Linked DNA regions of Notamacropus eugenii. The protein of the gene in region 2 purifies or fractionates together with the protein of the main gene of each other region. This does not show direct contact. Links are inferred from orthologs where the notes say so. Each region holds a gene or a part of one and is shown on either strand. Other genes may lie near its edges.

Region 1 (7,943 bases), on a different chromosome or scaffold from region 2:
CCGGCACCTATGGAGCGTGCGGAAGGTGGCACAGCCCCCAACCTGATGCTCTCAATGGCTGTGGGCACCCCCATTTTACATAAGGGAGGGTGCAATCTGCCCAGGTCACCACCTACTGAGCAGAATCTGAGCTCAGACACCTGCCATGCTTGTAACCGTGGGCAGGGTTACCTGGGCACAGCTTGCCTCAGTTCTGTCCACGGAAAGTGGGGATGATAACAGCATCTATCTCCTGAGGCTTCTGGTGAGGCTCACATGAGGCATGCTACTTGCGAAGCACCCTATAAGCACTAGCTACTGTTGTTCTTCTAATGGTTGGAAGGAGTGGGAAACCTGCAGCCTGAAGGTCACATGGGGCCTCTAGGTCCTTGCATGCTGCTATTGTATTGAGTCCAGGTTTTACAGAACAAATCCTTTTAGGAAGAGGATTTATTCAGTGAAGTGTGGATTCAGACAAAGGGCCACACTTGAGGACCTAGAGGCCACATGCAGCCTTGAATTCTCCACTTCTGCAACCTGGAAAATTGGGAGGGGGACTGCACCAGGCAACCTCGGAGGCGCTGGGCCTACGAAGATATTATAAGGATTAGAGAAAAGGGGTCAAACTCACCTGCTGAAGCCTAGCTCCTTTTTATAACACCACAACACAGACGGCCGGGCCCTCACAGCCGCTTTTGACAACATATGATGGAGTATGACCACCTGCCAGAGGGAGGAGACGGCACAGGATCAGGATGGGAAACGGAATGAGACCATTTATGCCAGGGAGGGGAGGGAACTCCTGAAGAAGCAACCATCCATCAACTGACAAGCTTTCATTATGCACCTAGTACCCGTGAGGCACCGCTGCTTGGCAGATACAGAAAGAGACAGAAGACCACTCCTGCCCCTAAGGAGCTCACCACATAAAGACAAAACAGAGGAACGTGTGTTAGTGATAATGAGTATAACGGTGAGCCTCCGGAAACGCAGGAGGCAGAGGAGAAATCTGGAGATTAAGATTTCAGTTGTAAAGGCATCTAAATTCACCTGCTCTGTCCCCGTGCCTGGAATGTTCTCCCTCCTCACCTTCTTTTAGGGCTTTTCCCCAGAAGCCTTGTCTGATTCCGCTCCCCCCCCCCATTAGTCTGTATTTATATCTCCCCACAGAATGTCTCAGAGAGCAAGGACGGTGATCCTCCCCGGTGCCTGGCACACAGTAGGCAGGCCGTTAACAGATGGTGGAGTGATGCCTCTTCAGAGGGAAGGCTTCCCCCAGCACACAGTGATTCAGTCAGAAGCCTGAAGAGAGCCCAAAGCTACTGAAACAGGGGCCACCGAGCTGGAGGCTAGGCTGGGAGGGGAGGAGAACCTGGCCAGCCTCAGTTCTGTCACCTACACAACCAGGGCTCCGGGATCAACGATCTCTAAGGTCCCTTCCAGCCTTAGGGAGCCAAGGGGAACTGAGGCATTCTGTCCTCACTCGGAGAAGGGATCAGAAGCCAGCCCCCCCCCAGCCCCATCCTCCCACCTGGCCCGTCAGACACAGGGCTTGTCCAGGACCCCGGGGGGTTCCCGGGGACAGTCCCCCCCCCATCCTCCCACCCGGCCCGTCACCCACAGGGCTTGTCCAGGACCCCGGGGTTCCCGGGGTCAGTCCCCCCCCCATCCTCCCACCCGGCCCGTCACCCACAGGGCTTGTCCAGGACCCCGGGGTTCCCGGGGTCAGTCCCCCCCCCATCCTCCCACCCGGCCCGTCACCCACAGGGCTTGTCCAGGACCCCGGGGTTCCCGGGGTCAGTCCCCCCCCATCCTCCCACCTGGCCCGTCAGACACAGGGCTTGTCCAGGACCCCGGGGGGTTCCCGGGGTCAGTCGCCCCCCCATCCTCCCACCCGGCCCGTCACCCACAGGGCTTGTCCAGGACCCCGGGGTTCCCGGGGTCAGTCCTCCCGGCCAGGGCTCACCTGGTCCTTCCCACGGTCGCCCACCAGGACGAAGAGCGAGCGCTGCCGCTGGGCCACGCCGTTCTCGATGAGGACTCGGATGCGGTTGTCCACCTTCTTCCTCTGCATGGCGAAGGAGGGCCCTGAGGACGAAACGGGCACACGGGGGAAACTGAGTCAGCCCCCCACAAGGGCCGGCCGGACCTCCCGGCCCTGGCACCGACCCAAGGTGGGCAGCTTCGGAAACAAGGGGGCGCTTATGGCAAGGAGTAAAGACCCCCCCAAACAAACCCCAACAGCCCGGGAGTGTCTGTCATCTGCCTCCCTTACAGATGGGGAAACTGAGGCAGGGCAAGGGGGGGCTTGGAAACACCGGGCCCAAGGGGGCTGGGGTGGGGGTGTTACGAAGCACCCGCCCGCAATCGCTGGGACGCGCCCGGGGTCAGGGGTGGGCGGCAGGGTGGCATCACAGGCTAGCTCACAGGAGCAGGGGCTGGAACAGCAAGGCCGCGCCGTCCTCCCTTACTTTACAGGAGCGGAGGCCGAGGCGGGCGGGGGTCACGGCTCCAAGGCCGACAGATCCCCTAGAGGACACGCCCACGGACGCTCCGGTCCCCCCCGCACTCCGCCCGACCCCGTTACCTCCCGGGCGAGCACAGCCTGCGAGAAGCCGCTTGGGGTGGGCCAGCCGGAAGCACGTGGAGCTTACCGCTCGTGCGCAGGCGCCACGAGGAAGGCCCCCGGGCCCTCGGCAGAGGTGGTCACGGAGGCGGCCTAGAGCGAAGGCGCGCAGGCCACGCCTCTTATGTCCTCGTGAGCAGGCGCGCTCGGGCGGCCCCGACGGGGACCTACCAGGATCGCGTCGCCCTCCAGTGACGTCACCCCCCAGTATCGGCGGGGCCCCACGAGAATTCCTCCGCAGAGCTCGGTGTCCCGAAAGCCTTCTCCGGTCTGGCGTCCTACCTTTCCCTTTTTTTGCGCCGACTCAGTCTCGCGCTCGAAGACCACCGGGATTTTTAGCCTTCCTTCCCAGTATTCCTCTCTGCTCAAACAGGGACGGTGGATTTCCTCCCACCTCCAGGCCTTTGCATTCGCCGTCCCCGGGGTCCCGTCCGAGGAAGCCGCAGCCCCGCTTCTGGGGGTCCCCAGGGGAACTTCCTGGCAGCCCGCGTGGTGGCTCCTAACCACCGCTCCCCCGCCCCAGGTCTCCCCGGGTTCACGACTCGCACCAGGCCCGCCCGTGACACCGAGCTGGTTCCGTGCATTCCCCTCCCTGCTCCCGAGTCCGGGCCACAAACAGTCGGACTCATTGAGCACCGGAACCCCAACCTGCCACCCCCCGCGTCAGGACAGAAGGCCGACACTGCACATGGTCGGCTCGCACAGCCGAGGGAGGGGAGCCGTGGCCCCTAAACAAGGGTGTTTCTTGCCCCCCACTCCTCCGTCTTCGTCCCTCAGGTCCCCACGGACCGCCTCCTGCACCCGCTCAGCAAGTTTTCAGTAACAACTTGTGCTAACGAGCTCCAGAGAGACAGTTTCCAAGGAAGTGCAAGCCTCTTGGCAACATTGTAGCACGCACAACAGGGACACACGCAAGCTTCGGAAGCTCCTGACTGCTGAGCTGTTGGGAGGACATTCAACCACGAGTTACTAGTCAAGTCTCCAGATTCTTTGAGGGATACAAAGTTAGTCCTGACCAAGGTATGTCAACGACACTTTTCAACCACGCTAAATAAAACAGATGCTCCACCACCCAGTCAGAGGACTTGTTTAGTGCACATCCATAATCTATACCAATTCCGGATTCACCAGGACATCACTGACTTTGTAATACACGTTTTCCTGCTGTAAAAACGGAGCTGCCTAAAGATGACTTTTCCATTGTTGTTGGTGAAGAGAACAGACCCAAGTGGGTGCAGACTGACGTGAAAAACTCAACAGATTTGTTAGGGCAATGCGACCACAACATGTAAACATTTAAACCAATTCCTGCTAGACAATTTCTGCAATTATGAATATGCAAGCTATACTTCAACAATGATCTTGGAGTTCAGAGGACCTTACAATCAAAATGGGCCAAACAACGCATTTTCTTAGGCAAAGTAGTCATTGTATACGCACGTTCAACATAGGCTTTTCCTTTGACAGAACCTGACAGACCTCATAGTTGGTGTAGCCTTTAAAAACACAAGGTCACCACCATGCCATGATGAGGCATCTACTTAAAACACCATGCTTAATAAAAATAGCCTTGCTTTTAAATACAGACCTTAATGAAGCTTAAAAATTTCTAATGACATGAATTGGTTATGTGGGGGAAAAAAAAACTGTGTTTTTAAGTGCAACAGGTCGTCTCTTCCCCGCCCTCCCTCCCCCAAAAAGAAAAGCTGTACATTTGCTGGTGCACATACATGCATGTGTATCTGACAGACCTCAGAGTCCTGATACCATCCCTGGGGGAAGACAGCACTATTTCATCATGTTAAATGCCCTAAATATTATTTAAAACAAACCCTGTGAAGGCACCTTCTATACAAGCAGCAAGTTTTTTCCATAGGAATGTTAGCTATCATGTTACTAATAAAATCCACTATATTTATCAGCACTTATATATGGTTGTGGTACATCCTTGCCAGATATGATTTAATTAGGGGAGAAAACTGGCCAAGAAGCCTTCTTGCTTATCAAAGTAAACAGATAACCCTTCCAATAAGATGTACCACAACCAAAAATGAGAAAAGACAGGAACTTATTTTATTTTAAAATAAACATTAAAGACACCCCCCCGCCCTTCAACCCCAGCCCCTTTACAAAACTTCTGAATGTGGAATGTTCTCAAGAGTCCTTCAATAGCCTATCATTTTAGTAGATTACAAGGTCAGCAAAAGTCCAGTTTTCTAACAATGAGTGTTTTAAGAATGGTTTCAAAAATTAAAGCAACTGAAAACCTACTCGTCAAATTACTGAGCTGAAGGCTGAAAACAAAATCCAGTTTCTGGACTACAAGTATCATTAACTTAGCAGCCTTTGCTTAATACATGGGATTAATTCAACAGGAAGCCAAAGTGGGATGCAACAGCAAGCAGCAGAGAAGTCCACAGGCACGTCGAAGTACAGCTAGCACTCCAACTGCACACAGGAGATCCAACATAGCATGAGAGAGGCTAAGTCACTACTGCACTGGGCACCCCCAGGAAACCTGGGGGGATTCCTCATGTAACGGAAGAGATCACTATTGTGGGCAAGACCAAAGCCTTGAAGAAGAACCGAACTCCATTCATGTGGGTAATTCAAGAGAAAGCAGTAAATGCAGGTACACAACAAAAGCTGTAGGAAAACCTCAGTGGAACAGGAGATAACTGAAACTTCAGAGACAATGAACAACTCTATGATCTCAACTGCGTATGTCAGCTGCTCAACACCAGTGTTCCAGGATACAATTTTTATAAACACGTTTTATTTGTTTTAATTATACCATTAGAACTGAAACTGCTGGCTGTCATTTCCCTTAAAAGGGGAAATCGATCCAAACACATCCTGGTGCTTTTCAAAAGATAGCGATTTTAAAGGGCGGCAGCGGCAGGCGTTTGATATCCTTTTCTTTTAAAAACCTTCAGGCTGCAGAGAGAGACATGTGACCCAAAGTGTTATGTTTATCCATTAGAGATTTCCATCAGTACCTGTACCAATTACTTAGATGACAATACAGCAAGGTCAAGTATTAGTGACAGACAATGTGCATGTCATAAGGAATGATAAATATATAGTACCAATCCTTACAAAAGTCATTGCTATCAAAGAAACTGTTAAATGTGTTCCAAAAGGTATCTAAATACTTCACATTAAATACAGAAGCGGCCATCCAGATTACATCCCATATTTGTTGCAGATTTTTTTAAAGTGCCAATCAAAGCCTAATTTTGCATTTTGGCTTTGTCTTGTACAATATCAGCTGTTACAAAGCAATTTATGTGTATATATTTTTAACCACAGTAGTTTGGCCTGGTGATGAATAGTGCTGTATCAAAAGTAGTCAGCCTTATTTGTGTAATTAGGGACCCATGCATCTTTAGTATGCATCTAAACGTTCATCGCTCCAATTTAAACCAGAAAAAGCGGTGAAATGCAGTCGCTCTGCCAAACCACACTCCACTCTTTCCATCTTCCTTTCATGGGAAATATTTTAGTTTTTGTCAATTACCATCAAAACAACAACTCTAGGGCTGATTTGCTGATTTTTATCCAATGCCAAAAATGAGTCAATCTTGCTTTTTTTCCAAGCCACTTCAATTATAACCATGGAGACCTGATCACCCCAAAAGTGTGTGTGTTTTGCTTTGCTCCTAAGCAAGGGTGAGGAATCTGAGTATCATGTGCAAGGCTCAAGATGACGCTTAGGACAGAACATGCAGAGTAAAGATCGTTTCCTTCCATATCCAGGTAACATAAAGCTGACAACTCTAGTCCTGTCTTTATGGGGTGAAAACAGTCCCTTTACCAATGAGTTTCCTGAAAGGGAGAACAAATAGATAATAACTCTTCTGGTAACATGTTATGGGACACTGGCCAGTGTGTTTTTGGCGTTTTAAACGTAATCCTGTGAACCAGTTTAATTCACTTGCTGAGTGTTCATTGGCGGCATCCCTCGGTTGGGTCTTGGGGGCCCTCCACGACCTGTAGAACAGAACAAAACAGGCTTTTAGGTCTTCTCACACACTGGTATTTCAATTTCTCTTTCAAGACAAAATCCCAAAAGATAGACACAGGCATGAAATGCCAGGCCTCAAAAGCCTTTCTCCATGTATTGAAGATTTCTTCTTTTACAGATTTCCCTGTGCATGTTTACTCAAATCTCTTCAGCTCAACTGATCATTGATATTCATTGTTCATTCCAAAAAAAACAAAAACAAAGCAAATACTTTCCAATATAAACACCAAAAGGAAAAGAGAGTAACTTTTAAGAAGAAAATGCACAGCATTCACTTAAAAGTAGGATTGGGTGGCTGTGCAACAAGGCTACAAACCTAGGTTCTGTCCTATTACAATCAGGACCAGGATTGTTTTAACTCGAGTTCCTTTCATTTGTTTAGCTAACTAGCTCCTAGTTATTAAACACCCCAAGACAAGAGAAAAGAAAATAAGCCTGATGCAAATATTGAATACCCTGTGGCATACTCACCCATCTGTCATGGCTACCCCACTAATTCTCAACTCATCTCTTCTTTACAAAAGATGTTTATAATGGAACTGAACATTTTCACCAATGACTACGCTACTCTTCCCAACATACTTGGCACACATCAGTCAGACTGTACTATGGTCACCTTTTCTGCCTCAAGGCTCTTGCTCTCATTTTCATCCAGAACAATCCCCCAAAGACCAAATGCAAACAGCTGTGTTCTCTGAAGCCTTCCCCTACCACCAAGCTGGAAAGTGATCCTGGGGCACAGCCCTCTCATCACCCACTCACTTGTAAACTCCCTTTCAGAAGGTCTCTCAGAGAGAAGGGCAGACTTTAAAGTGGAAGCCCAGTGTTCAAATCCTCACTTTGTCATGTAACAGTAAAGACTGATATTTATGCAAGACTTGTTAAGGTTTGCCCAGTACATTACAGACCTCTCATTTTAAGGTCATCATAATGTCAATACCTACTATGATAGGCAATTCTTTCATTTTAAAATGAAGAAAAATGAGGCTCAGTGACATTAAGTGACAAGTCACTCAAGAGTGACAGGACCCAGAATTCCACACCAGGTCCTCCTCATTGTAAGACCAGCTCTCTAGTCACTCCACATGACCACTGTGCTTCTCAATAGCTGTATTTCTATGGATGAGACATTGAGCCTCCAGGGTCTCTAAAAAAAGGAAAAAATGACCCTGTATTGCCTACCCCTCACGGGGAGGATGTAAGGAAAATTATTCACTAGTCTTAAATTACTATGAACTTGCCTGTACTATTCATGAAACCGGTAGATTTATATGCAGTGGGTAACTTAAACAAAGTTAAACTACTAGCACC
Region 2 (6,980 bases):
TTTTGAAAGTCATGCTGCTATTAAGTAGCAAACAGAAAAAAGACAGGACAATTCTACGTGGTAAGCATAAAGACAGGTACTGACCTGTTATGCTCTCATAACTGTAAGAATATTTCTTAAAACATATTTATATGGAAATATGTTTTGCATGAGTGCACATGTATAACCTATATTGAATTGCTTACTGTCTTAGGGAAAGAGGAGGGGGGAAGTGGGAGAGAGAACCTAGAAATCAAAATTTTAAAAAGCTAATAAAAACTGTTTTTACATGTAATTGGGAAAAATATTATTTTAAAAAATCCATATACCGATGATGAAGTCTACCTTCAACTTGAAAGAACAAGTCTAAGAAATCAAAAGGTACAGTAATCTATTTTTAAAATGATATACAGATATGCTATCTTTTTCTACAAAGGAATGTCACATTTCCTTTATATCATTGACAGCAGACAAATTGGCAGTACCACTTTCCCTTGTGGTATGGGCCCTCAAGTTCCTATTCTTTCAGCTTCCAGTATATTCCAATATATGCACAGCTCAACAAAAGTGTTGTCTCTGACAACATATTAGTTATTTCCACTTAGGAAATTAATGACTCTTTAAAAAAAAATCTTGCTACACTGTCCCTTATATCTCATCCACTAATCTATTTTATTGGAGTTAGGTGAATTTTTATTTATAGTTTGTATTTTATTTATATTTTAATTTTTTTATTATAGCTAAAACGAATTTACTTGGGGACTATCTCAGTGACATCTTTTTTCAACAATACAAATGCTCTGGACCATTTTACTTTTCAGAAAGAAGTAAAAAAATAAGAGAAATGGAATTTTAGTAATTTTTGTGTCTCACCAGTATACCAGGCAAACCCTGCTTTATTCCTTCAAGGATCTGTAATTAACTGTATGGGTATATTAATGCACATCATGGCCTTTGTGCTTAGACCTTCCTGAGTAGCAAGGTATGAAAAATTCAACATTCTACAGTCAAGCTGGGGATGAATCTGTCCGAATGTGACTAGGCTACGTCTCAGATAAGAAAAGGATCCATCACCAATCTCATACTTAAAGTTTTTGTAGCTCGGAAGGCAAAACAACTGAGCCTGAGTTGTTCAGTGCCTTAGCTGGGCAAGTAACAGACCCAGGATGAATAAAAACAGCAGTCAGCACCTGTGTAATGCTTAGTATGTACGAAACACTTTACAAATATCCCATTTCTCACAACAACTCTAGGAGGTAGATGCTCTTGTTACCTCCATTTTACATATGAGGAAACTGAGGCAAGCAGAAGTTGAGTGACTTGCCCAAGATCCCATCGGCACTAAATGAAGTCACATTTGAACTTGTAGAGCAGTGAGATGCCAGGCCTGGATTCAGGAAAACTCATCTTCCTGAGTGCAGATCTCTTTTTTGCCTTTCTTTCCTTTTTTTTTTCCTGTAAAATGAGCAGGAGCAGGAAATGGCAAATCACTCCAGTATCTTTGCCAAGGAAACCCCAAATGGGATCATGAGTCAGACATGACTGAAAGAAACCAGACTGAACAACTTCTTGCCCAGTGCAAAGTAATGGAGCTGGGAATAATAATAATATATAGTGTTTAATACGAATCAAGCCTTTTACAAATGTTATTTTAATCTTGCACAACAACCCTGCTAGGCAGGTGCTATTATTATTTTGATTTTACAGAGGAGGAGACTGAGGTAAAAGGTACTTGAGTGACTTTTGGAAGGTCACACAGCTAGTAACTTGTCTGAGGCCACATTTGAATTCAAGTCTTCCAGACCTAGAGCTCTATGCAGCTGCCCCCCAAGTCTCCTGACTTCAATACTTTTATTACAACTTCATGTCCATTACATCAACTAAGTGTTTGCTGATTTAATGGCAAATTAAACCTACAGAATGCTAAGTGTCTGAAACAGGTGTCATGAAATCTCGTGGACTGATTAAGGGCAAATTAAAGGGAGGCAAGTCCAGTCACCCAGCATTTGGTATAAACCTTAAGGTTTATATTGTGCCAGGCATCATGGTAAGCCCTGGGAATGCAAAGAAAGGAAAAAAAAAGAGTCCTGTACTGTTCTACATAGACACACACCAATATATACACACATATACATGCGTGTACACACAAATATACACGTATATGCACATGCGCATGCACACACCACATTCATATATACACATATACAGAACTATATACACACATGCGCATACATACACAAATGTACACAAATACACGTATGTGCCTACACACACGCATGTATATGCACATGTACCCACACACATATGTACAGTTAAACACAGGACCGACCACCTGGAGGGAAGCACCGAGGGGAAGGCACCCAGCACACAGACCCAGCCAGGTTTCGGGTCCAAAGTGGGAGGAGGGCGGAGCCTTGAAGGCAGCCAGGAGGCCAGGATGAAGGCGGGCGGGGCAGGAGCCCAATAAAAGCGAAAGGGATTAACTGCACAGGACCTGGCACACAGGTGGCGCTTAATAAATGCGTGCTGAAAGATTAGGCGGTAAATGAAACCCAGGGAATGCACAGAGCCTGGTCAAGGTCCGTGCTCGCTGAATATTTATAGATAGACTAGGGAGATGGGCGTGTCTTCGGGGATCAGACCCCGCCCCCCCAGACTGCGAGGGGGCGGGGACGCCCGGCCCCCGTCTGCGCATGCGACCTGACAAACGGCAGGAGGAGGGGGTCTGAGGGGAAGTGTAGGGGGGTTAGAGGAAGGTAATTGGGAAGATGCGGGAAGGGAAGTCTACCGGAATAATAAAGCAGATCGGGGCCTGACCCTCGCGGGACATCCCGCGTGGGGCGTCTCGACCTCTCCACTTACTCAGTTCAGTCCCCCAGGCAACGGGTCCAGACGCGGCGAGTTTCCGAAACCGTCGCCTCCTCCCCGCTCTTCCCAGTTGCTGGGCCTCGCGCGTCACGCGCTCTGCGACCGGAGGCGTCGCTCCGAGAGCGCGCGCGCCAGGACCGGAAGAAGCCGCGCGATTGGTGGATTCGGAGGGCGGGGGCGGGGCACGCGAGCGGCTGCGCGGGGCCTCGTCGCGGAGCAGCGCGTCATCGGCCTGCGCGGGAAAAATTCGAAACTCGAGGCTTGCTGCCGAGCCAGGTGATCCCCCTCCAGAACGTCCTCGGTGTGTTTGTGTTGGGGGGAGTGCTGTGTGTGTATCTGTGTGTTGTGTGTGTTCAGTCTTTGTGACTGTTACGTGTGTGGTGTCCGTGTGTGGCGTGTGTACGTGTTATCTGCGTGTGGGTATCTTTGTGTGAATTATTTATGTGTGTTGTGTCTGTGTTACATGCCTGTGAGTATGTGTGCATTGTTTGTGTCTTGTGTGTGTGTTGTGTGCACGTGAGTATCTGTGTATTGTTTGTGTCTTGTGTGTGTGTTGTGTGCACGTGAGTATCTGCGTGTATTGTTTGTGTCTTGTGTGTGTTGTGTGCACGTGAGTATCTGCGTCTATTGTTTGTGTCTTGTGTGTGTGTTGTGTGCACGTGAGTATCTCTGTGTCTTGTGTGTGTGTGTTGTGTGCACGTGAATATCTGTGTATTGTTTGTGTCTTGTGTGTGTGTTGTGTGCACGTGAGTATCTGCGTGTATTGTTTGTGTCTTGTGTGTGTGTTGTGTGCACGTGAGTATCTGTGTATTGTTTGTGTCTTGTGTGTGTGTTGTGTGCACGTGAGTATCTGCGTGTATTGTTTGTGTCTTGTGTGTGTGTTGTGTGCACGTGAGTATCTGTGTGCATTGTTTGTGTCTTGTGTGTGTGTTGTGTGCACGTGAATATCTGCGTGTATTGTTTGTGTCTTGTGTGTGTGTTGTGTGCACGTGAGTATCTGTGTATTGTTTGTGTCTTGTGTGTGTGTTGTGTGCACGTGAGTATCTGCGTGTATTGTTTGTGTCTTGTGTGTGTGTTGTGTGCACGTGAGTATCTGTGTGCATTGTTTGTGTCTTGTGTGTGTGTTGTGTGCACGTGAATATCTGCGTGTATTGTTTGTGTCTGTGTGTAGCTGTGTTTGAGTGTATTGTTTGTGTCTTGTGTGTGTTGTGTGCATATATCTGTGTGTTGTTTGTGACTGTTTGGGTGTCTGGGTGTACTGTATTTCAGTGTTGTTGCGGGTGGGTTCACTGCAGGGTCTTGGGGGGGGTGAATTCTGTGAAGAAGTATTGGTCTTGGTGCTTGGCCATCTCCATTGTGTCTGATTCTTCATGACCCCATTTGGGATTTTTCTTAGCAAAGATTCTGGCGTGGTTTGCCATTTCCTTCCACAGCTCATTTTATACATGAGGAAATTGAGGCAAACAGGGTTAAGTGTCTTGTCCAGGGTCACACAGCTAGTAAGTGTCTCAGGAAGATGAGTCTTCCTGACTCCCAGCCCGGCAATCCATCCACTGTGCCACCTAGCTACCCTATAAGTGATAATAAAAGGAGTTAACACAGAAGCTTTGCAAATTTTATAAGCACTACGTGAATAGCCACAAATTCTGACTGCTATAAATTGGGAGGCAATCAGTCAAAAAACATTTATTAAACACCTACCAAATGCCTGGCACCATTCTAAGCCCTGGGGATATAAAAAGAGACAAAAGATGGTCCCCACCCTCAAGCTTACAACTGAATGGCACTGCCACTTGAAGGAAACCCGAGAGTTAGGGGGTAGAGACTACAAGGGGTGGGGGATAAGCCAAAGAGAATCTCAACTCTTCTGCTTATTACCTGTGTGATCACTATTCTGCTCATCAGTTTTCTCATCTCTGTAGTAAGGGTATTTTAGACTGTATTGACACCTGGGGTCCCCCTCCACCCAACTTCTGTGCTTTGAGATCCTTAAGGGACTAAGGCAGAAGTCAATCCTGAAGGACTTAGAGAAACTAATGTATCTTCTTGATGATGTGGAGACAGGAACGAACAATCTTAAGACTTCATCTGGGTCTGTGGTTCTTCAAATGTGTTTGTTCTGTGGATTTAGGTTTGAGTAAACCCTGGGCACGTCACTTAACCTGGCTTAGTTGGTGGAGTACTGGGCCTCGAGTCAAGAAAGCCTGAGTTCAGACATTTACCAGCTGTGTGACACAGGGAAAGTCACTTAACCTCTGTTTGCCTTGATCTACCAGAGATGGAAATGGCAAACGACCCAAGGATACCCTAAATGGAGTCAGAAAGAATTGGATGCAACTGAACAACAACAAAAGATCCTTTAGAGAGGGGGTTCACCTGTTTTGGGTCATGGTCCCCTTTGGTAGGTCTGGTGTGATAGAGCACCTCTCAGGTGAATGTTGGGTTTTTTTAACCTACGTTCAAATGGAAGGAAAAGATAAATTTCAGATAGAGTTTAGTGAAAATAAAAATGTAATTTTCTTCCCTGGCAGAGCTAAGGGACCCCATGAAAATATGCCCACAGATGCCTATTGTCCTGGACCAGATTTTCTTAACTTTTTTATGTGTCATGGACTCCCTTGGCAATATGTCAAAATCTAAGGACCCCTTCTCAGAGTATTGGGCTTGTATGCATAAAATCTAATCCATCGGATGACAAAAGAAACCGATTACATTGAAATACAATTATTAACATAAAAAAAAAAAACTTCACAGACCCAGGTTAAAAAACTATTGCTATAGGGCAGGATGCAAAAAAAAAAAAAATCTTGAAAACTCAAACCCCTAAAACACCCAGAACAGTTGTTGTTCAGTTGTGTTTGGGGTTTTCTTGGCCAAGATACTGGAGAGGTTTGCCATTTCCTTTTCTAGCTCATTCTACAGAAGAGAAGCTAAGGTAAATAGTCTTAAGTGACTTTCCCATCATCACAGAGCTGGGAAATGTCCAAGGCCACATTAGAAAAGTCTTCCTGACCCTGTGCTTGGTGCTCTGTCCACTGCGCCACCTAGCTGATGATTAGCAGCGATTTTACAAGAACTAGTAAATGGATATCTGGTCTTTGTGAAGTACGGAGCCTTTGACAACATATTTGTAAATACATGTCAGAATGTAAATGTCTTGCAAGTAGATCTTTCGTTCTTTACTTGTATCTCCAGTGCTCAATACATTGTTTAGCACATAGTAGTCATTGATTGAGCAAACATGTCAATCAACCAAATCAATCATTAAATCAATTGAATTAGACAAATGTTGATTGATTGAAAATAAACCATGCAGCAAGAGAGAACTGGTCCATTTTCAATCTAATCTCCCTCTCCAAAGCATTTTACTTAAATAATCACAAATAGATCTCTTCCCAAACAATCCTCAATCCAGAAAATTCTTCCTCAAATATAGAATTTTATTTAAATTCCTTATAGCTGACCTGTGTTTGGAATCAGTTTCTACTAGTTCAGCCCTATAGACATAGATGTGAGGAAGTGAAGAACCCCTACTCTGTTAGCAGAGCTGTAACCCTGAGTCGTGAAAGCCTGTGGAGGCTGAGAGTTCTGGCAGGTTCCAAGTAAGGGCCCAGTAACAGATTATTTTTAGAGGACTAGCCTGTATATAAAAAAGAAAAATTCATATGTGTACATCAGTAGGTTGGGCATTTGGTTTTAAGTTCTTTGGTTATAACAATCCTTTAAATATCCCCATTTCTGAATCTTTGCTTAATGATAAAATAATCTTGTTCTATTAGCCTTTCTGCGTAAAATCATAGAATTTTAGAATTTGAACTCCTCTTTAAAACATGTCCTAGAAATGAATTGACTGTTACAGGGAACGCGAGAAAAAAACCCACCATACTTTCTATATGGAATGTAGGAAATCCACCATTTACGATTTAGGCCTCGCCCCAGAACACAGAAACCTATTTAATGTGTCAGTTAATAGTGGCTTTGCAAGAGTGCTTTCTGCTACAGGATTTACCGATGTATGACTGCAGCTACACATCGTATTCAAAACACTGGGGAGCCACCCTGTGGTGATTCTGAGGCAATTCAGAAAAGGCGGCTCCTCTTTCCCCAGCTCATGCCTAGGCTGGGAGACATTC
Region 3 (7,320 bases), on a different chromosome or scaffold from region 2:
TTTGGCTTGTAAACGAATTTGGTCTTCCATTTCCCTGGTCAAACATGTCTCATGCAGAACAAATGCTTGTCAATATTAAACAACAATAATTACCTCTTTGGACCAGAAGGCCAATGAATATTGGCCAGTCTCCAGTAGCCTGATTATAGTTAATCAAACTTAAAATCAGAATAATATTTATCAAGTTTTTATAGGAAGATATTGTAGTATTCACTTGCCTGCCAGGGTTGTTATAAGGATCAAATGAGATAATATTTGCAAAGTTCTGTGCAAACCTTAAAGCACTACGTAAATGCTAGTAGCTATTGTTGTTCAGGGATTTCAGTTGTGTCCAACTCTTTCTGACCTAATTTGGGGTTTTCTTGGCAAAGATACTGGAGTCATTTGCCATTTCCTTGTCTAGTTCATCTTACAGATAAGGAACCTAGGCAAATAGGGTTAAATGATTTACCAGAGTCCTACCACAGCTAAGAAGAGTCTGAGGGTAGATTTGAACTCAGGAAGATGAGTCATCCTGATGCTAAGCCCAGTGCTTTCTCTACTGTAGCTTTATTCCCTACACAGCAGCTAAGCTAAAACATGACTTGCGTGTCAGGAGGTTATGATCTAACAAACGTTAGATCATAATAGGTATTATTATATCTATTATACATAACATAGGTATGATCAGTAGTATTACACGTAGAAGAGAGTTCCTTTTACATTTTTTGTGTTTCTGATTCGTTTTCTATAAATATATTTTACTTTTTGTTATCTTAGAATACAAGAATAGGATAAAAGAGAGAATAGTTCCAGTACATGCAAAACCAACAGACTCATGATGAAGGCAATTTGGTATTATTACTCCCCAAAACACTTTCTATTCATTTTTAATATGTATCTATATACTTATATGTGCATTTGATGTCCCTCTCTCCTCAACCTAAATTCTAAACTCCAAAAGAGCAGAGACCATTTCAATTTGTCTTGTATCCCTAGAGTTTAGTGCTTCGCCTGGCTTATAGTAAGCCTTAACAAATACTTGTTGATTGGGAGAAATTTATCATTTTAAAGGATTCAAGTCTTTTGGGGTTTCGTGGGAGACCTTTAAGCAGGATATTTTAGCATATTTTCCCCAGGCAAAGTGGAAAACACAGTTGAAGATAAAGATGGCTGGACTTCCAGCTTCTCCACCGGTTCTTATCTTTTATAGTTAGTAAATTCTGTTATCCACCCTAAGCAGTTTCTTCAGCCACCAAAATGACATTAGAGCCAAAGCTATTTGGGAGTGGTAGGTAGGAAGAAATGTGTGAATTAGTTTTGTTCTGGATAAATGAATCAAAGAAACTGGAGAAGGCTTCAAAGTTTGCAATTAGTTCCCAAAATTAATTCCAGAAAAGTAGCTAGCTTTCTCTTCCTGGATTTAATGAGGATGACTAGCTTGGAGAGTATCTTGATTCACAATTTCTAATGTCCAATGTCCTTTGTTTTGAAACTCTCAATTATTGTCATTTAATTGTGTGTTATAACTCTATCTACAGACTATAATCTTTCTGAAGGCAGGGACTGGTTTTTGCCTAAACTCTATTCCACTTCCCCCCCAAGACAGCACAGTTCTCTTTAAACTATAAATCTTTGTGGCATTGCAGTTCATCGAGTATAAATTCTTTTGAAGTGCCTTACTCTGTCAGTCCAACTTTATTTCTCACTACTGTTCAACACGTTTCTCTATCTCCTTCCCCTCCCCCAGGCAAGACTCCTCACTGTCCCACAAACAAGTCATGCCTACTCCTCCCTCTGTGCCTTAGATCATGTTACATACACTCCCTCCCTCTTTCATACTACTCAACAACCTACAACCCACACTTATATAACACTTTAAAAAGCCCTCTCCTCATGAGTCTGCCACACAGGTAGTATAATTATTATTCCCATTTTACAGATGAGTAAACTGAGATTCAGGAAAACAGAGTTATTGGTTTAATAGGTGGCAGAACTGGGGATATTATCTAGGTCTTCTGACTCAATACTTTCCCCTCATTCATAAATTTTACTCATTGTTCAAGGGCTTTCCTCTGACTTCAGGTACTCACAGTGCCGTTTCTTCTCTATATACTTGTAACACTTGTACTGCAATTTACCATTTAATTATATACCATCAAGAAGGGGATGGTCCCATTGGAGCATGGGAGATATAGGGCAGAGGAGGCAATCCTTTGCTAATGGATACATAAAACCAAGGGGTTTTGGTAACCTTTCCTCCAAAAAGGGAAAAAAAAAAAATCCAGAACTGGGAGAATAAGTCACATGCCCAGGAAAGATAATTCACTAAATAGACTTCAAAAGGAAAAGTCTTTCTGTCATTTGTCAAGTAACTCTGTGTGTGCAACTCTCTCAGACTTCCAGCAAAGTGGTGGGAAGAAAGGAAGGAGGATTGCACATCAGTGGCTGCTCATACATGGCAGTGAGAGCATGTTTTCTCTGATGAACTTGAGCCTACACCTCCAGTACTTGACTCTTCTTTGTTTTTATTGCCCCGAGTCCAGGTGACTGAAAAGTGATTTAGACATATGGCTTTTTCTTCCCCTTGGCAGCAGCCTTGTGAGTTTGAGAAGTCAGTAGGAGCTGGGTGCTGCTTGTCCAGCTGTCTTCTGCAGCTACTATGATGCTCCTTGGAGAGGATGATTACTGACAGGAAATTAAGCCCAAGCCTTGCTATGGTCCACCAGAAGATACAAACCTAGTATGAGCTGCTCAGACAGTGCAGATTCAAGGTGGAAATGAAATGCTTGCTTGGCAGGCAAGACCACCAAGTGTATCATGTTTCAGTGTTTCAGGATGGTGTAAAAGGAATTACTGTTTCATGCTTTGTTAACATACGCTTGTATCTTCTGTGTTTTGAGGATTTCTTCTTGTGGAGGGAATAGCTTATTCCTGGTCTACTTTGCATCCTTAAAATTCATTTTGGGGAAAACCATAGACAGACATGAAAACCCCTAAGATTTAAGAGACTTTCCACAGGGATCCAGAGTGGGGGGTTGTAATGTGCTGGGATTGGAGAAGAGCTCCACTTTTATTTATGGGGCTAGGATCTCTAAGGACCGAACTCTTTGTGTACCCAAACTAGTGATCCTGAGTGAGCTTTTCATGCTTTCTGAAACATTGTTGTTCCATACATGATAATTTTTTAAGGTTTAATCCATTCATTGTATTTTATCCCCAACACTTATCAAGTGCTTTAATAGAAGAGTAGAAATGGAAGGATGTAAATCCAAATCCCAAGGAGTTAGATCTAGCAAAGAAAAACAGCAGTCTACAAAGCAGCAATAGAGTGAGTGTGTGTGTGTGTGTGTGTGCGCCCCAATTTACAGATGAATTAAGCGACTTGTCCACGACTAAGAATGTAGCAAATGTCAGAGGTGGGATCTGAGCAGAAATCCTCGGATTCCAGTTAGTGTCATGTCCTTGAAATTTTCCTTGAAAGTGCCTGATTTCTAAATTCCTAATACTAAGATCCTGTGAAACTGGACCGTTTGAGGATCTTTCAGAAAACATCTTAAAAGAGGTAGTCTATGTGGCCAGGGCGCTGGTGTCCTGAGTGCAAGCACAGTCACTCCTCTTACCTCCTCACTTCCAGTAATGGAATAGTGGAGGCAAGGGGCCCGGTACTGAGTCATGGAGCGGCTCTACTTCCTCTACTAAGGACTTTGATGGGCAAACCACTCAGTCTCTCTGGAACTCAGTTTCTCCAGTTGTATTTTATCCCCCAAACTTATCAAGTGCTTTAACAGAAAAGAGTCGAAATCGAAGGATCTCAATCCAAATCTCAAGGAGTTAGATCTACAAAGCGGCAACATTATCAATGTGCGTGTGTGTGCTGGGAGGGAGGACAGCTCGGGTCTGATTGCATCCCGTTGGGACGCAGGGAAGGGAATTCAAATCCTGCGGTTTGGCCTAGATGAGCTCCGAGGTCCCCCTCCCCACACACCCTCCAGCGCTGGGGACTGCGGCTCTTCGACCTCGCCCGTCCCTGCGAGCAGCCCACGCTTAGAAAGGAGACGAGAAGTTCTCGGGCTTGGGGTCAAGCGGTAGCCTCGACCAAGACTCAGAACTCTAGCAGGAGTCCCGTCCAGGAGGGAGACGATGCTTCCCCCAGGGCCCTGGGCGGCCCCTTTAAATGCTAATGAGGGCTCACCAGGGCCGGCAGCCAGAGAGCCCGAGCTTCTCCTCCCTCCTCGGCCCCCCCCCCGCCCCGCCCCGCCCCGCCCGGCCCGCCTCTTCCCTCCCCCTCCCCCCCCCCCCCCCCCCCCTCTCCCGAGCACCTAGAAAAACTTGAGCGGGCCATTTTCCGGGCAGTAAGATCGAGTGCGCGCGCCGCCCCGACAGCTCCAGCCGCCGCTGGCAACATCCCCGCGTCCACGGCTGACGCGAAACCGGCCCCGTCTCCGAGCCCCGGGCTGCCTCCCCCGACATCTCCAGCAGCCGCCGCAGCCCCGCTGCCGGCACCACCACCACCACCACCAACCGCCGACCAACCGCCGCGGGTGGCCGAGAGAAGAGCGACGGACGGCGGCATGAGCGAGGCGGGCGATCCCACCCCCCAGCCCCAGGCCCCGGCGGCCCCGGCGGCGGCCCCGGAACCCGCGCCCAAGAGCCCGGCGAGCAGCGGCGCCCCCGCGGCCGCCAGCCCGGCCGCCGCCGTCCAGGGGAGCCACCCCGGCGGCGACGCGGCCCCCGCCCCGGCCCCCGGCCCGGCCGCCGCCTCCGCAACCACGGAAGACCCGGAGAAGAAAGTTCTCGGTGAGAGCCCGTAGCCCCGGGCGCGTGGGGCACCGGGGTCGCGGCTCCACGTGGGCGGTCCGCAGGAGTGCGGAGCCGAGCCGCGAGCACGTGCTGCCCAGCCGGGCTCCGCGCGTGTGAGTGTGCGCACGTGTGGGTGCGCGGCTGTGTGCGTGCGTGCGTGACGAGCGTCCGCCCCCTCCCCAGCCCCAGGGGCGCGCACCCCGAGCGGTCCACATGCTCTGCTCCATCCGCGCCCCCAGCCAGGTTCAGGTTGTGGGCTCCGGTCGGCCCCAGTCCTACCCCTAGAGAGGAGGGAGGAAGCCTCGTGGAGGGGCTTGTGAGGGAGGGAAAAGCCGGGGAAGGGGCTCGAAGCCCACCTTCCCGTGGGGAGCGCCGAGCGCGCTTGTCCTGGAGGGCAGCTGGGGGAGGGCAAGGTGCGTGTGTCGGGCCCTGGTCGCCCTTTCCCTCGTGGGATAGGCGCCATTTCTTCTCCTCGTCCGAGCCACGCATCTTAGCGACCGAGGGGTGTTGCTTTCCTGTCGGAGAGTCCTTCCTAACTCGCTGACACGAGGCTTCCCATCTTCTGTTCTTGGCCCTCCCCCACAGTGAGAATCCCCCCGGCTAACCCAGCCGATTGGGCTCCCAGCCCTCCGCTTTAGGACCCGCATGTGTGTCACAACTGCTGCCACACAAAGCCCTGTTAATGTGGATGGTAGTCAGCTTTATCCTGGAATGTCTGGCAGGAAAACGGGTGAGAGCTGGCGGTTGGACGGGAATAGAAATCCTTTAAAGACTTGGCCACATGGTGCTCCCCCTCCTCCCCTCTCGTTACCCTCTGTTGACGGTGTTTAGGGCTGTACTAAGGTGTGTATGCTTGTGTGTGGGTGGCGAATAAGATGACTAAAGGGTGTGTATGTGCTGTCATTCACTCTTTTAAACTCAAAAGTTAGTCTGTGGGTGTGAGATGCCGGTGTAGAAAAACATATGCCACTCCCCTGATACTTCACTTTTCTGACCTGGCTTCTGGAGCTGTTAGTGGGGGTGGGGTGGAACTGGTGAAAACCTGAGTAAACAGTGAAGGATTGGTGGATGAGTATACCCGCACCCCGAATGGTGCATCCAGTGAACATCCATTGGGCGTAAGAAAGCTTGATTAAAAAGTTAAGTGTACATCCCTTTGGATAGGCAAGAAAAAAAAAAGCTTGAATGTAATTCAAATTGATGCTATTTGATTTGCCTAAAATATGCCTCATTATCCTCCTGGAAGGCATCTGGGGGAGTCTCTTAAAGGGGAGGCAGGGGAAGGGGCAAGGTGCGTGTGTCGGGTCCTGGTTGCCAGAAAGTGTCCCTGGGTAATAAGTCCTAGGAATTTGTTAGATAAGTATTTTTCCTGTATCCCTAACTTATCCCCTATGGGCATTTTGTTCTCTGCCTCTGAGCTTCGGTAAACAAAACTTGGGTGGAAAAAAAAATGTGAAATCATCAACATGGAAATCCTGCAGATACACACCCACATACCCTTTTTTTGAGGGGAGGCTCATGTGAAGATGATCTTCCCTAGATGGCATGGGGAAGGTGTGTATGTGTATTGGACTTGGAGAAGGGGGTTAGGTTTAGGGTAGGAAAAAAAAAAGTTGAACCTACAATGTTTTTTTCTAGCAGTAAGGACCTTTTTTCCCTCTACATGTTAGATCTACTCTGCAGAACAGTATAGTGATAATGCTATGATAGATGTAACCTAAGCTTCATGATGTTATGTCCTTTAGTAAAGGGATAAAATAAACCCATAACTACAATACAAAATATTCTAAGAGAAATGTGAAAATAAAGTGTTCACAAATTTCTGTTTCTAATCTAGCCTCTAGTAATAACTGTATTTGCAAAGGAGAAAGTGGTGAATGAGATGCTAGAGAAAAGATTGTTATCTTAGTTGTCCTCAGTCTTCATGTTTAAATCTGAATGTTAAGATGATTGCTAGTTAAATTAAGGACTGCTTCATCATATTTGAGGGAATTGGTTTGAAAACAGTTTGGATGGATGGATTCAGACTTGTGGCATCTTTTCTTATGTCTTCAAACTCACTCAACTTCTCTTAATAGACAGGAGTTCATGCTTCCTTTCCCTCACTCAGACAGATGAAGGGATTATTGGCTAAAACCCCACAACTCTAAATCTTTTATTATAAGAATGGTTAATAGATACACTTAATTCAAGCCATTGAATTCAGCTTGTCATTCTGAATAAGCCCCTGATTCTGTGGGATTTCTATATAGTTTATGCATTTATACTCATTGTAGAAAGACAGCACAGGTCTTTGCCAGTTGCAAGGTGCCTGCTAAGACTGGTGTAGTTTTCTAACCTTGATAGATTCCCACACTATTAGGTTTAGGACAGATTAAAGATTTTGTTTCAATTGTGACTTAATAGCATATACAAAATAGTCTTTGTTCTGATTGTTTTCTCTAACACTTCACTTAAATGAAATTTCCAGACTTCTCAGTTATTGAAATCACTTACCCAGCACTTGTTTTGTGTTTATATTGAGGACTGTAGAATGAA
Region 4 (7,494 bases), on a different chromosome or scaffold from region 2:
TTCTCAGGTTTTATTTCTCCCATCTGCAAAATAAGGGGATTCAACTAGCTATATTTACAAAATCACTTCCTGTTTTAACATTTCTATTTTGATATCAAGTCAAGACCATCTTTCTCTTTTAAGGTAAGATTTAACTACTTTCTTCCTTTTTCCCCCTGGGGAAGAAGAAATTGGGAAGGAGATAAAAGAAACAGGAAGAAAATATGGGTATGGGTATACAGAAAAGTCAGACACAGTAAAAGAAGTGTTTCTCTTTCCCTCCCCCCTTCCACAGATATATATTACTATAAAAAGTAGCCAGAAATTTCTCTTTGATAAGAAAAGATAAATGAACTTACCCTTTGCTTTTAGAGACCAAACCAAGAGACTGACTTAATCGATGAATAAAAGCTCTTTCAGTACTGGTTAAAGAAGAAGGAAATTCCATTTCTAGAGAAAGAAAAATGTATTCTTTTAAATGGTCACATATGAGGAAGAAAAAAATTCTTTTATTTAGCTTTGGCTAAAATAATATACTTGAAACCTCATTTATCTTTACTATGTTTACATGATGGTAAGTACAAGTAATTAATTCACTTCAATAAGCATTTACTATTAAGTCAGGCCTTATATCATTACTTCAAACACATCACCCAAATGTTAAGCCTGGCAATGAAAAAGCAATTATATGTATACCACCAATATGGTCCAAAAGAATTTGTTGTGTCGTGTTTGTCCTTAGTTCCAGAAGAGGACCATGACATCAGGGAGATGATGACACGACTTGCAGTTGACTTTGTTTTAAGGGTGAGGGAGGGTTGTTCAGGGTCACCAGCCTCACTTTCTCCTCCTGAGTCTTCTGGGTCCAATGATCAGACATTCATCAAGATGACTGGAGATGGCCCAGGATGCAACAGGAGACCCTAAAGGTCTTTTCAGAATTGAAGCTTCATTTGAGCTACCTGTTAACTTTCTAAACATGCACATTGGTTTCCTATCTCTATCCTTTTAAACAGTGTTTCTACAGCTACAATGCCCTTCTTCTCTAGCTCCAACTCTTCAATTTTTACCTATTTTTCAAGGCCTAAATCAGTGTTATTTCTTTCAAGAAGTCAGCCTTAGTTGGAAGTAATCAATCCCTTTTCTGACCTGATGGAACACTTTATACTTTCATTCTCTGTAGTGCATTGTAGTCATTTCTCTCTGTAGCATTTTCTCTCTCATATATACGTATATATAGATAGATAGATATATCTAGATAGATATATACACACACATTCTCTATATTGCACTGTAGTTATTTGTACTTCCACTTTTTACTTCCAATTTTAATAATTTATGATTCTAAGTTCTATGAAGTCTGGGAAAATTCTTCTTCCTTGAACTTCTGACATGGGCTCATATTTTAAAAAATGGAGAAATGTCAACCCAAACATTTAGATACTTTGACAATTCAAAACATTTAGTGAATGCAAGTCACTAGGGGAGGTCATGTTAGAGATAATTCAAGGAAAAAAACTGTTGCATGCATGTCCTAGATAAAGCGTTACTTAGAATTACTGCACAGTTTGCATTTATTAAGTGCTTATTATCGTTTAGCACTATATGAATGCTGGCGATATAAAAAAAAGGGGATAGTCCCTCAAGGAGCTGACATTCTAATAACACCTAAAAGAGGAGGTGAAATGAAGCGGGGAGAAGGAAGCATGTGAGGTGGGGAAGCATGGGTACAACTGGGAAAATCAAGGCTGGTTGGGCTGGGCCTTTTACAAGGTGAGGAGAAAGGAGGACTCGGCCAAGCTCCGGTCCTGGTCCTCCTTCTGCCTGTGTGACCTTGGCCAAGTCATCTCAGAGCACTGGGCTACTTTCTGAAGTCTGCTTTGGAAGGGGGAGACACTTATCAAGAGCTCCCTACACTGATGGAAGCACAGACGTGTTCAAGACCTCTGAGTAAGTGACTGTTTGCACAGGAAGATTCTACAGGGGGGGGGTCTTACGGAAGTCTGGTGAAGTCTGTGGACCCTTTCTCAGAATAACGGTTCAAATACATAAAATAAAATATATAAAATGATAAGGAACACAGTTATAAAAAGGCTTTTTTAGACAAGAGGCTCTCTCCCAGAGGGAAGGCGCACTCTCACGCCCTTTGGGCAGCCCTAAACTTCAGCTCTTTCCACACACGACCTCCACACCTGACAGATACGGGCACCAAAACTCGAGGGACGAGCCCGGCTCCCAGAGGTGAAGGTCCGAGCCCCGCTAGTCTTCCTGACAGGTCGCGGCTTCTCACTGCACCGAATGATAAATAAATACACTTTTGGTAGAACGGGCGGAGCTGGACAGACGCGGTGCATCCTGCCCAATTCCCCCTTGCTGCTATCTGACCGGTGCACTGCCTCCTCGGGCCGTGCCCCCCGGACTTCCCGTTACGTGACCCCCACCTCTAAGGGGTCCCGAGCTTGCGGAGGTCCCCGGAGCCCCCGCGGACGCGAGCCCAAGCACGTCCAAGGCCCGCCTCCAGCCCCCTCGGGGCCTCCCGCCTCCAGCCCCGCGCCCAGGCCGGACGCCCGCCGCACTCACCCCTCTGGTCTCCGTAACGAAAGCGCTCCAGGGCGATGTTGACAGCGATCTTGACCTCCTCATCGATGCGGATGTCCTTCAGCCCCTTGGCCCGGCCGCCGCCGCCGGAGCCCGAGCCGCACTGAGCGGACACCCCGCCGCCGCCGCCGCCCCCGCCCCCGCCGCCCGGGGCCGGCGGCCGCGGGGAGACGCTGCTCGGCCTGGACATGGGAGCCGCCGCCGACCTCGCTGAGGGGACGCTGACTGACGGATGGGGCGCGAGGCGGGGGGAGGCGGGACCCAGACCGAGCCTCGGGGGAGGCCTACGGGGCGCCAAGATGGAGAGGGACGGGGGCCGGGGGCAACCGAAAACCGGGGGACTACAGGGCCCCGCACGCCTGGGAGCCGCAGGGTGCCCAGCCACAGTTAGCCGGGGCGCCGCAGCTCTCGGCCACTTCGGCGCCGCCCAGACCGGACGCCGCGGCGTCGTGACGTAGTCTTACGTCAGCTCGTCACGGCGGGTGGGAGGGGCAAGGGAGCTCTCCGAGGATGCTGGGGAGCTTGGGAGCGGTCCTGGGATGTAGAGACTGTGCATGCTTTATGCATGATCCACCTCCCTGAAAGTGGGGGCTAAAGAAACGAGTCCAGAGAGCCCCCGGTCAGTGACTGCGCCTCCTGGCTCCTCTCCTGACTCCTCTAGTGTCCTCTAGGGGGTCTCATCCTCTGACATTTCCTTGAGAGTCTTAAAGGATTCTCTTACCTCTTCTTGTGACCGAGTCATTCCCCTATTCAATAAACTCTTGGTTCTCTAACGTCTTCAGAATCAGGACTCTTTTGTTTGGTTTTTTAAAGAACTTTACTTGATTATAAAGCAATCATTATCAAAACATTCTGGTCCTGGCTAAGAAATACAGTGGTGGATCAGTGGGAAAGATGAGGTACGCGTTGTATGATAGTAAATTGCTACCGTAATCTAGCCTAGGATAAAGGCAAAGATCCAAGCTTTTGGAACAAAGACTCATTATTGGACAAAATCTGATGCAGCAGCTGGAAAAACAGCATGGCAGAAACTAGGTGTAGACCAACATCTCACACCATATACCAAAATACAGTCCAAATGGGGACATGGTCTACATATAAAGGCTGACGCTATAAGCAAATTAGGAGAGCATGGAATGGTTTACTGGTCAGATTTATGGATAAGGGAAGAATTTATGAACGAAGGAAATATAGAGAGCATTATAAAATGTAAAAGAGATAGTTTTGATTATATAAAGTTTAAAAGGTTTTGCACAAACACAAGTAATGCAACCAAAATTAGAAGGAAAGCAGAAAACGGAAATGTTTTTGCAACAAGTATCTCTGATAAGGGCCATTTTTCTCAAATGTATATAGGACTTTGTCAATTTTGTAAGAATGGGTCATTCCCCAATTGATAAATTGTCAAGGGATATGAGCAAGCAGTTTTCAGACAAAGGACAAGGCTATAGTCATATGAAAAAATGCTCTAAATCACTATTGATTCAAATTAAAACAATTCTGAGGTACCACCTCATACCTATCAGATTCGTTAATATGACAGAAAAGGAAAATGATAAATATTAGAGGGGATGTAGGAAAAGTGGGACACATGCATAGTTGGTAGAGTTGTGAACTGATCCAACCATTCTGGAGAGCAATTTGAAACTATGCCTAAAAGGGATAAAACTGTGCATACTCTTTGATCCAGCAATACCATTGCTAGGTCTATAAAGGACATCTTTATAAAAAACAGAAAAGGACATATATACATGTACAAAAATATTTATAGCAGCTCTTTTTGTGGTGTCTAAGAATTGGAAATCAAGAAGTTGCCCATCAGTTGGGGAATGACTAAACAAGCCATGGTATATAATTGTGATGGAATATTATTGTACTATAGGAAATGACAAGCAGGATGATTTCAGAAAAACCTAGAAAGACTTACATGAGCTAATGCAAAATAAAGTGAGCAGAACCAGCAGAATGTTATACACAGTAACAGCAATATTGTACAGTGAAAAACTGTGAATGACATGGCTATTTTCAGCAATATGATAATCCAAGACAATCCCAAAGGACTCATGATGAAGCATGCTATCTGCCTCCAGAGAGAGAACTAATACCACCTGAATTCAGACTGAAACATGCGGCATTTCATTTTCTTTCATGTTTTTATTTGAGTTTTCTTGTACAAAATGACTAATATGGAAATGTTTTACATCATTGAATATATATAAACTATATTGGATTGCTTACTGTCTTGTGGAGAGGGAAGGGGATGGAGGAAGAGAGTGATGGAATATGGATCTCAAAACTTTAAAAGATGTTAAAAAATTTAACATGTGATTGGGGAAAAATAAAATATTATAAAGAATTTAACTATATGTCCCTAACTTACCTCTCTAGCTTTGTTTGCATTATTCATCTTTTTGCCTTCTGCAGTCTAGAGAAATTGAAGTCACATATGACATTCCATCTTCTATCGCCAAGCCTTTGCACTAGCTGTACCCCATGTCTGGAGACAGAAATAGAGACATATATCAAGTGATTAGAAAGAAACAGTTCAAGTACTATGGAATGACTGTAAGGATTTCACAAGATCTGACAGCTTCAATGGAAAAATGAGAAGAGTTCTTGGAGTAAAATTACTATAAAAGGCAAAAGATAATAGGCTTATAGCTAATGATAGCACACCCTACAAAGCCGAGTATAATCAGGGAGGAATGGATCTTTAATGGAATGAAGGACTTTTAAGCATTTCTGAAAACACCAAAGCTGAGTGGGAACTTTGTTACTTGGTTGGTTGTTGTCCTTCATTCTTGAAGAGGATTGAAGTTACATCACTATCTACCATAGTTCAGGCAAAAATAGTGCATGTGAACATGTGACATGAATTCTCTAAATTTTGTGCATCTCATGTGTTACTATGACTTACTTCTATTCTACTTTGCTTACAGAGCACAGTACCTTCTTTGATGAGGGCACACTATACTGGGCTGTTCTGTGCCAGTATCTCCCATGTCACACAATCTATTCCAAAGTTCTTCAGGTCAACTTTTAGGTCAAAATTGGTGCAAGCAGCAGAGAATTGATCCATACTTCATTGTATCTCAGCTTCAGAGGCTGTATTGAGTACAGAATTGTCTGTGAACATCATGCACCAACCGTCCCTCTACTTTAGTCTTGGCTTCTAGACTTTTCAGTTGAATAATTTACTATCAGTGTGGTAGCTGACCTTGATGCCATGTTCATCCTCATTGAAGGTGTTTGACAACATTACTGAAAACATGTCAAAAAGCATGGGAGCAAACAAACAGTCTTGTTTCATTCCACTGGTGACTGGGAAAGCAGAAGCACCATTATCCATTATCCAGAACCCAAGCAAACATGCTATCATGAAAATGATGTACAATATTGATGAACTTCTCTGGGAAACTAAATATTGACATAATTTTCTATAAACCTTCACACTGACAGTATCAAAAGCCTTGGTCAGCTTGCCAAATGTTGTATACAGATATCTGTTCTGCTCTTGGCATTTCTCCTGGAGTTGTTGGCATTAAAAACCAGATCAGTCATTCCCCAGCCCTTTCTGATGCCATGTTGGCTCTCAGGTAGAGGACCATCTTCCAGGCAAAGAATCAGCCTATTAAGGAGGACTCTGGCAAGAATCTTGCCAACAATGATGAAGAGAGAGACCTCCCTGTGATTGTCACAGGGCAATTTATTTCCTTTATATTATAGAAGGGGACAATGGAGTTACTCTTGCATTACTGGGGGTTAACCTCTTCTTGGCATATAACCCAGAAAACTTCAGTCAGCTTTTGTATAAGCAATGGATGCCCCACCCCCACTTTGTAAATCTCAACTGGAATAGAATCTGCTAAAACTTCATGGATGCACCCTCACAGAAAGCATTGGCATTTAATAGACTACATTATTATAAGAAGAATAGACAGACAGGATGTGAAAACAATGATGGCAGCATGCAGTGGTCTGAATATCCAGAAACAAGTAATTGCATGTAAAGCACAAGTTCCTCCTCACTTTCCCTTTGAGGTTTATATTTTTCTCAATAAATGGCATAGTTTATTTCAAGACAAAGAAATGGTATACTGACACTTTCATTAAGGTTTTGGAAGATATTCTACAAATTCTCAGTGGAGACCTTCTCCAATTTATGACACATTTAAATTTATAAAGGGAATAAAACCAAAATATTTGGAAACAGAACAAGTGACATAAAGGAATTAATACACCTAGCCAAGAAAACAATCCAATGTTTAAATTAAATATATCATAATATTCCTCATAAGTTTTCTTACTTTAGTAGTTATTATAGTCAAATGAAGTGAGGTTTCTCTTTCAATTACTTTGAATGAAATGTTGCCTTCTGCTAAAACATTTTCCTAGAAAAAGATAATTGATATTTCAGTGAATAAAATGTATTAGTCATAGAAATCAGGGAGATACCAGGAGGCAAATAAATGTGATGGACCTTATTGGCTTTACAATCTTTGTGTGTATATAGTACTCAGTTGATGATATAGATGATGTGCATGTAAAGGAAAGATGTAGGCAGAGAAAAAACACCACATTAGCTCTCATACAATTTCTTCAGGAACTTCACCAAACATTTTTATGGTCTTCCACTTCATGTCACATTATTGCCTATAGGAGGAATTCTGGAAACACTGAAGAAGAAATGCTATGTACTCTATTAGAATTAAACGATGGAGCCAACAATAGAGGATAAAAATTGAGAAAGATGCCTTTGCTATATTTTTTGTGCTTTAGAGCTACATTATTGTGATTCTCCTCAATTAAAAGAATGGTTGCCTTGCCATTAAAAAAAGATCTGTTGCTTAGAACCTCAGCAAAGCAAACTACTTTTCTCTAAGAAACAATTTATTGAACCAGATATTCAGTTGAATG

What was found.
Region 1: the proteins of LARP7 (region 2) and NAT10 purify together in Homo sapiens (affinity purification with mass spectrometry; 3 studies listed by BioGRID and IntAct, with this or other methods). This does not show direct contact. The link is inferred for Notamacropus eugenii from reciprocal best matches to the Homo sapiens genes LARP7 and NAT10.
Region 3: the proteins of LARP7 (region 2) and YBX3 purify together in Homo sapiens (affinity purification with mass spectrometry; 3 studies listed by BioGRID and IntAct, with this or other methods). This does not show direct contact. The link is inferred for Notamacropus eugenii from reciprocal best matches to the Homo sapiens genes LARP7 and YBX3.
Region 4: the proteins of LARP7 (region 2) and YTHDC2 purify together in Homo sapiens (affinity purification with mass spectrometry; 3 studies listed by BioGRID and IntAct, with this or other methods). This does not show direct contact. The link is inferred for Notamacropus eugenii from reciprocal best matches to the Homo sapiens genes LARP7 and YTHDC2.

The regions. Positions count from the first base shown.
Region 1 is NC_092877.1:17,332,538-17,340,480, forward strand, and holds the start of NAT10 (RNA cytidine acetyltransferase), read right to left. Parts: upstream 3,016-7,943; 5' UTR 2,888-3,015; exon of another isoform or gene 2,567-2,887; intron 2,068-2,566; 5' UTR 2,054-2,067; coding exon 1,946-2,053; intron 703-1,945; coding exon 611-702; intron 1-610. Other genes in the region: CAPRIN1 (caprin-1), read right to left, coding at 6,534-6,598. UniProt on the Homo sapiens protein: RNA cytidine acetyltransferase that catalyzes the formation of N(4)-acetylcytidine (ac4C) modification on mRNAs, 18S rRNA and tRNAs.
Region 2 is NC_092878.1:117,255,343-117,262,322, forward strand, and holds the start of LARP7 (la-related protein 7), read right to left. Parts: upstream 3,005-6,980; 5' UTR 2,842-3,004; intron 1-2,841. UniProt on the Homo sapiens protein: RNA-binding protein that specifically binds distinct small nuclear RNA (snRNAs) and regulates their processing and function.
Region 3 is NC_092874.1:199,786,149-199,793,468, forward strand, and holds the start of YBX3 (Y-box-binding protein 3), read left to right. Parts: upstream 1-4,300; 5' UTR 4,301-4,553; coding exon 4,554-4,779; intron 4,780-4,915; exon of another isoform or gene 4,916-5,031; intron 5,032-5,367; exon of another isoform or gene 5,368-5,427; coding exon of another isoform or gene 5,428-5,512; intron 5,513-7,320. UniProt on the Homo sapiens protein: Binds to the GM-CSF promoter. Seems to act as a repressor. Also binds to full-length mRNA and to short RNA sequences containing the consensus site 5'-UCCAUCA-3'. May have a role in translation repression.
Region 4 is NC_092874.1:347,280,650-347,288,143, reverse strand, and holds the start of YTHDC2 (3'-5' RNA helicase YTHDC2), read right to left. Parts: upstream 3,014-7,494; 5' UTR 2,768-3,013; coding exon 2,560-2,767; intron 430-2,559; coding exon 339-429; intron 1-338. UniProt on the Homo sapiens protein: 3'-5' RNA helicase that plays a key role in the male and female germline by promoting transition from mitotic to meiotic divisions in stem cells.